Cricetulus griseus: one gene and its partner. The protein of the gene in region 1 purifies or fractionates together with the protein of each later gene. This does not show direct contact. Links are inferred from orthologs where the notes say so. Each region holds a gene or a part of one and is shown in the gene's direction. Other genes may lie near its edges.

Region 1 (4,231 bases):
GCTTTAATAACGCAATTCTATTGAATTCCATTAAAAATACCTATTTTAAAATAAGGTAGAACTAGAGCACACAATCGAATGAATAATATGCTCCTATTTTTCACACAGTGCTAGCTAGGTACATTTAAAAGTTACACTTCACACATATGTGATATGAAGTGTCTTTTTTGCAGAACACAGCAATAACAAGGTCCAGTCCCTAAATGACTTTAGTTGACAAACAATATTAATCATTTAGGATGTTGGCTTAAATTTCTTACTTGAACCGGTCACAATCTAAACTTTGTACCACATTGCTTTATACTAGTTAGAGCTAGGTGTCACATGATGGGGATTCATCATTGTCATGGGGAAAAAATTAATTTCTTTTTAATTGCATTTTATTATACTAATTCAAATTTGGCTTCAAAAATGATTTGGTTTAAACAAATGATAACATCTTTAAATTGAATAAAAATGTGTTTTACATTTTATCAAACAACCTTTTTTTTTCTTTTTTCAAAATAAGATGTTGCCATTTTGAATTACAACCAAGTTTAAGACAATTTATGTGGAATTTGGAAAGGGTTTTTTTTTTAAATTAGTTTTCATTATTGTACACAATGGACTAAAAGTCTGCTTTGGAATAGGGTGTTAGGCCTTTAACCTATTTTATTGAATAGAAGTTTATATAAAGACAGAAGTTTGATATTTTTAAAAACTATCTGTTACAGGAACAAAATTGATTCTCTTAGTTACTTTTATAACAAACAATTCTGGCATTTTTATTAGTTCATACATTGATGTTTTTTCTCTTTCTTACAGTCACCCCAAGCAGGCACAAAAGACAAGACACTCTGTTGCTGGTTCTGCGCCTCAGGCCCAATATCCTTAAGTGCCAAAATCGAGAGGAAGGGCTACACCCCAGGTATGGATGCGGTTGGTGCCTACAAAAAGCAGTTTTCTTTATTAAGCATCTTGTATAAACTTGGCATTGTTACCGAATATAAACCCTCAGCATTCCTTACTTCGTAAAGCTGTGTAGGTTGTACAGATGGATCCCTTTTCTTTTCACAAATTATAGTCTCCTTTTTTGTGTAGTCAGGGTGAGTGAGCAGGTCATCTTTATAACAGTGAGTTATCCTTGCTCACTTCCAGGATAGCTTTTCCTCCATGGAGTTAGTTGAGCTTCAGAAGTCTACACCAGATACCAGTGTGTGCCTTTTTGTTTTCTAATAGTGAGTAACTGTTTTCCCTCTACAGGTGAATCAATACAGATATTTGCTGAGATTGAGAACTGCTCTTCCCGAATGGTAGTGCCAAAGGCAGCCATTTACCAAACACAGGCCTTCTATGCCAAAGGGAAAATGAAGGAAGTAAAACAGCTTGTGGCAAACTTACGTGGGGAGTCACTATCATCTGGGAAGACAGAGACATGGAATGGCAAGCTACTAAAAATTCCACCAGTTTCCCCCTCCATCCTTGACTGTAGTATAATCCGTGTGGAGTATTCACTAATGGTAGGTGTTCCTGTAAGAAGTTCTTATCACTTTTTCTTGAATCTGTGGGGTCCTTATTTTGACTTATTGATGCTTGGTAGACTGTAGATGTGTGTACAAAACATTGCATTATTACCTCACATAAACTAGGGCATTGCATATAAAAGAGAAGTTCTCTAGAAACTAAACGGGATCCCAGCTAATATCAAAATTAGGTTGTGTTTTTAAAAAAAATTCTGCTTAAATGCTGACTTCAACATCTGCTTACTGTTTAGGTATATGTGGATATTCCTGGAGCTATGGATTTGTTTCTTAATTTGCCACTTGTCATCGGTACCATTCCTCTTCATCCATTCGGTAGCAGAACCTCAAGTGTGAGCAGTCAGTGTAGCATGAACATGAACTGGCTCGGCCTATCCCTTCCTGAAAGACCTGAAGGTAATTTGATAATACATGTCTAAACTTACTCTATTATTAGTAGTAAGACTTTTTTCTTTTGTTTTTAATATTTTACAACCCTAGTTAAATTTTTATCTTTCTTCAGTTAGCATATGTAACCTTAATATTGTTTTGTTGTTTGTCCTGCTTGTTTTAATCACCAAACAAATAATTATTCTTTTACATGACATTTTTTTAATATCTACTATTCTGTGTATTTTGACATGCATAAGAACATGTTGTTCGAATTGCGTGTATCTTTTTCCTTCAGCACCACCCAGCTATGCAGAAGTAGTAACTGAGGAACAAAGACGAAATAATCTCGCCCCAGGGAATGCTTGCGATGGTTTTGAAAGAGCTCTTCAGGGACCACTGTTTGCATATATCCAGGAGTTTCGGTTCTTGCCTCCACCTCTTTATTCAGAGGTAAGTACCAAGTCAAGGATGAAATGTGCTGGGTCTCCTAGGAAACAGCAGTGCAAGCTTTTAAAAAAGATACAGGCTTTTAAAAGGTAGTCGTTTCTTAGTTAAGCTGATGATAAACATTTAGAACACCAGTTTAAAAGTTAGAATTGTCAGATCTTCTGACTTCATTCAGGAAATAAGGTGATGGCCAAACTTCGGTTGAATCATTAGCATTTTTTAATAAATGAGTTTATTTTAAAGTATCAGTAGAAAACTGGTATTTTGTAAGCATAATTAAATAGCTAGAATTTATATTGATCATAATCCTTTTCCAATCTAATTCTTTCATTTTTAACATTCTTAGTTATAGGAGAAAATAGCATATTTCCAAATAGCTTTTTAAGCCGGCGGTGGTGCACGCCTTTAATCTCAGCACTTGGGAGGCAGAGGCAGCAGGAGTATCTCTTGTTAGTTCGAAGCCAGCCTGGTTTACAGAGCAAGTTCCAGGACAGACAGGGCTACACAGAGAAACCCTGTCTCAAAAAAACCCAACAACAACAAAAAGAAAAAACAGACAGACCAAATAACTTCTTAAACAGCATTGTACACTCCTAGATTATTCTGCACTTTATATTAATGACACCAACACACATGTGAATAAGATGAGTACTTGCATTGGAAAAACTCACAGACTAGTGAGAAAAATTAACTTAGAAGGGAAAACCAGCCAGCGTCAACCTTGTTAGGAAACACCACTCATCTGATGAATCAATTATTGGGTCTTAGAAATCAGAAGGGCTTCTCTGAGAAGCTGAATTTTCAACAATAAGTAGCCCCTATACCTACAGTATAGGTTGGAAGAGCAGCCCAGCTGAAAGACAAGAAGGGGCTGTTTCTCTGTTGTACCTACACAGAGAAACCCGCCCTAGATGTAATTATGTAGAATCATCTTCATTAATTGTAGAGTACTCAGAATCTTTTCTTGCAAATTTTTGATTAGACATTTTTCCTGTCTTAGGATGGTTCATAAAAACACATGACTGAAAACCATTTTCCACAAATTTTATTACTTTTTTTTTTATTCTGACATTTCTTACTGTGTTCTGGCTTAATTTGAATGTTCATAGCTTTCAAGGGGGCATTTGAAAAGAATGATAATTAGAATTCACTTTAATTTGTCCTAAATTCTACACATTTCAAGATGAATATAATATAATTTCAACATTGTACAACCCTAAACTCTGGAATATGATTTAAATAAAAGGTAATTGGCTTTTTTCTTCAAAATGCATTTGGCATAAAAACTTCTGAGGTGATGTGGGTTATCTCATACTTAAAGTGAGCAGGACTTGTCCAGACAGATCTTTGAGTTAACCTTCACAGGACCCTTAGAAATGTTGTTCACAGAACCTAGGGAAGTGATGCAGTGACATTTTAGGACAAGAACAAAAGATACTTTACAAAGGAGTTGAGTGGTTTGATGGTGTACCCTAGTATATAACTGATTTTTAAGAACCCCAATGTTGAGTGAAAATACCCTTCCTAGTAACTTTGGTGAAATTGAACTATTCATGCATAACTATAAATCATATTGGTAACCTAACACCCTTTCATTCAAACATAACATGATCTTCAGATAGAGAGCATTATATTAGGGTGTAATCTGCTAAGCAGTCTTATGTATGCTCTGATAATATTGGTTACCTTTGCAGACTCAAAAGCAGTCATATACCAAATTAACTTTGTACATTTCATCTTGTTTCTACTAGATTGATCCAAACCCTGATCAGTCATCCGAGGACAGACCATCTTGCCCCTCTCGTTGAAGGAACACTTGATTGACTCGAGTTGATATGGGTTTCGAACTGTATCTCTTCCGGCTGAGGACAGAGAAGTATCTTGGAGACACG
Region 2 (3,480 bases), about 120 Mb from region 1:
GTCAGCTTATGAGCTGGTACATTTCTGTATCTCCAGTCCTATGGAATCTGATGCTCTCTCCTGACCTTCAAAATAAGCACAAATACAATGAAAAGACATACCTAGAGATAAAACTCCCATATGTGTAAAATAAATGAATTTAACTTAACTTTTAAAAATGTAAAAGGAAAATATTACATTTTCATTTTCAATGCATCCTCATATAACAAGAAAATGATGCCACACTCCCAAGAATTAAAAATAAAATAAAACCACCTAACTCTCCCCTAAATGTGTAAATACTTGAACTCCTAATGAAAGACAAAGGGTAAATTACTGCCTCGATGCCTGCAAGGTCTCAAGGGGGGAGGATGCCAAAACATATTTTTCAAAAAGTGTGCAGAGAAACTGTAGCTATTGAAGTCACCTCCTGTGCTCTTGCCAAATAACTGTAAGGGAATATACTGAGAGTCTGGGAATGGGAAAAGAGGGTGTCATTTATAAGTGCTTCAGGAGGATGCTACCTGGATGTGGACATGGGTGTCTGAATGGTCCGCACACCACATCTCCACATGAGCTCTTGTGTACATTTCTTTCTGCATGTTTCTAGGTATTCCTGTGTTTGTTTTTAGCCACCTTTCTGCATTGGACCAGGAGACAGCTGTCGTCTCCAGCGTGAGTGGGCGCGGGTGTGTCTCGGTGTCTGTGGCTGTGGTGCGGCATAAGTCTGAGCATGTCCACGTCGGCCGAGTGCGTTTGTGCCTGTGTATGCGTGTCCGAGTGTGCTTGTTCAGTCTCTCTTCTCTGTTCCTAAAGGAAAATGCGCTGTGTGCCACCTGCATCCAGAGACCTCAGCCCGCAGAGGTGACCTGCACGGACAGGTAGAAGAACTTCCAGACTGCGCTTGGTTGGTGGATCGTACAGCAGCTCCAGATTTCTGTCTCTGAGGCCCCACTAGGGTAGCTGGGAGGGAGTGGTGGCTTGGCCTCCGGGGAGCACTGGGGCCCCGCCCGGACCAACCCCAGGAGGAGGCGGGCTAGGCAGGGAGGGTTGGCCCTTGGTGCCTCGCCCCTCCGGGCATGCGACCGTACCATTGGCCCAAAGTTGTTGCACGTCACCAAGCAATTCCCCTAAAGTCCGGTGCACATAACGGGCAGGGAGCATTGCGAGACTGCTTCTCCAGCGTTCAGGCTGCAGCTAGCAGGCACCGCGAACCCAGAGCACCCCACGAGCTGAGTGTGCAGAACGCGCCCCCAGCACAGCCACCTACAGCCGCTGAATGAAGCTTCCAGGAGTCCGTCCCCGGCAGGCTGTGCCCCGTCGGAGGTGCACCCGCTGAGAGCGCCAGGGCGCCCAAAGCCAGTGCACTCACCTGCTAGTCTGCCAGCGATGGGGCCACCCGGGAACGACAGTGACTTCTTGCTGACACCCAACGGAAGCCATACGCCGGACCACGACATCACTCAGGAACGGGACGAAGCGTGGGTGGTAGGCATGGCCATCCTCATGTCGGTTATCGTCCTGGCCATCGTGTTTGGCAACGTGCTGGTCATCACAGCCATTGCCAAGTTCGAGAGACTACAGACCGTCACCAACTACTTCATAACCTCCTTGGCGTGTGCTGATCTAGTCATGGGCCTAGCGGTGGTGCCGTTTGGGGCCAGTCACATCCTTATGAAAATGTGGAATTTTGGCAACTTCTGGTGTGAGTTCTGGACTTCCATTGATGTGTTATGCGTCACAGCCAGCATTGAGACCCTGTGTGTGATAGCAGTGGATCGCTACATTGCTATCACATCGCCATTCAAGTACCAGAGCCTGCTGACCAAGAATAAGGCCCGAATGGTCATCCTAATGGTGTGGATTGTATCCGGCCTTACCTCCTTCTTGCCCATCCAGATGCACTGGTACCGTGCCACCCACAAGAAAGCCATCACCTGCTATCTCAAGGAGACTTGCTGTGACTTCTTCACGAACCAGGCCTATGCCATTGCTTCCTCCATTGTGTCTTTCTACGTGCCTCTAGTGGTCATGGTCTTTGTCTATTCCAGGGTCTTCCAGGTGGCCAAAAGGCAACTCCAGAAGATAGACAAATCTGAGGGAAGATTCCATTCCCAAAACCTCAGCCAGGTGGAGCAGGATGGGCGGAGTGGGCACGGACTCCGAAGGTCCTCCAAGTTCTGCTTGAAGGAGCACAAAGCCCTCAAGACTTTAGGCATCATCATGGGCACATTCACCCTCTGCTGGCTGCCCTTCTTCATTGTCAACATCGTGCATGTCATCCAGGAAAACCTCATCCCTAAGGAAGTTTACATCCTCCTTAACTGGTTGGGCTATGTCAATTCTGCTTTCAATCCCCTGATCTACTGTCGGAGTCCAGACTTCAGGATTGCCTTCCAGGAGCTTTTATGCCTCCGCAGGTCTTCTGCGAAAGCCTATGGGAATGGCTACTCCACCAACAGTAATGGCAAAACAGACTACATGGGGGAGGCAAGTGAATGTCAGTTGGGGCAGGAAAAAGAAAGTGAACTGCTGTGTGAGGACACCCCAGGCACGGAAAGCTTTGCGAACTGTCAAGGTACTGTGTCTAGCCTTAGCCTTGATTCCCAAGGGAGGAACTGTAGTACAAATGACTCACCACTGTAATGCAGGCTTTCTGCTTTTTAAGACCCCTCCCTGACAGGACACTAACCAGACTATTTAACTTGAGTGTAATAACTTTAGAATAAAATTGTATAGAGATTTGCAGAAGGGGAACATCCTTCTGCCCTTTTTTATTTTATTTTTTTAAGCTGCAAAAACAAGAGAGGGGGAGAAGCTGTATTTGAGTGCTTATTTGTTTCTTGTGCAGTTCAGTTCCTCTTTGCACGGAACTTAAAAGTTTCTGTCTGAAGCGTGTTGGTCCTAGAGGACTGTCTGTACGTTTAGATGATTTTTCCATGCATCTACCTCATTGGTCAAGTGTTAGGGTATACTATTATTGCTGCTAGTAATTTGTATCAGAAGGAAGTTTTCCTTCCTGTACCCTTGGACTTGACAATCCTGTGTCTTGGACCTTTCTGCTGTGAATATATACTCTCCCCCGCTCCACTTATTTGCTCAAATGGAGTGTTGTAGGCAGTGATCTGAGGGACAGCTTCAGCTGTTTTTTTCTGAGCAAAGTCTAAAGTTTACAGTAAATAAATTGTTTGACCATGATTTCATTGCACCTGTTTCTCCAAAACCTCTTGACTCTGGAGTGTCCTTGTCTTTCCCACTGGAAACCACAGGTAACTATGTGTCATAACTGCTGTGTGTCTTGATGTGGAAGGGTACCAGAATGGTATGCATTGATTGCCTAGCCCTCCCATGTGCCTTTGGATTTCCAAATGCAAACCTGTGTCTTTCCTAATTTTACTTGTGCCCCAAATCAGTTCTGCCTGCTCTCAGCATAACCCAGTGTGTCCTACAGTTGCTATTCTGTGCTGTCACCTCGGAAACCCTGACTCAGAGAGAGAGAGA

The links. Proteins that work in one complex are often made in the same cells at the same time.
Region 2: the proteins of Arrdc3 (region 1) and Adrb2 purify together in Homo sapiens (affinity purification with western blotting; 6 studies listed by BioGRID and IntAct, with this or other methods). This does not show direct contact. The link is inferred for Cricetulus griseus from reciprocal best matches to the Homo sapiens genes ARRDC3 and ADRB2.

The regions. Positions count from the first base shown.
Region 1 is NC_048595.1:301,360,734-301,364,964, forward strand, and holds part of Arrdc3 (arrestin domain-containing protein 3), read left to right. Parts: intron 1-804; coding exon 805-907; intron 908-1,242; coding exon 1,243-1,499; intron 1,500-1,753; coding exon 1,754-1,916; intron 1,917-2,149; coding exon of another isoform or gene 2,150-2,187; coding exon 2,188-2,342; intron 2,343-4,090; coding exon 4,091-4,147; 3' UTR 4,148-4,231. UniProt on the Homo sapiens protein: Adapter protein that plays a role in regulating cell-surface expression of adrenergic receptors and probably also other G protein-coupled receptors.
Region 2 is NC_048595.1:176,928,112-176,931,591, forward strand, and holds Adrb2 (beta-2 adrenergic receptor), read left to right. Parts: upstream 1-1,368; coding exon 1,369-2,625; downstream 2,626-3,480. UniProt on the Homo sapiens protein: Beta-adrenergic receptors mediate the catecholamine-induced activation of adenylate cyclase through the action of G proteins. The beta-2-adrenergic receptor binds epinephrine with an approximately 30-fold greater affinity than it does norepinephrine.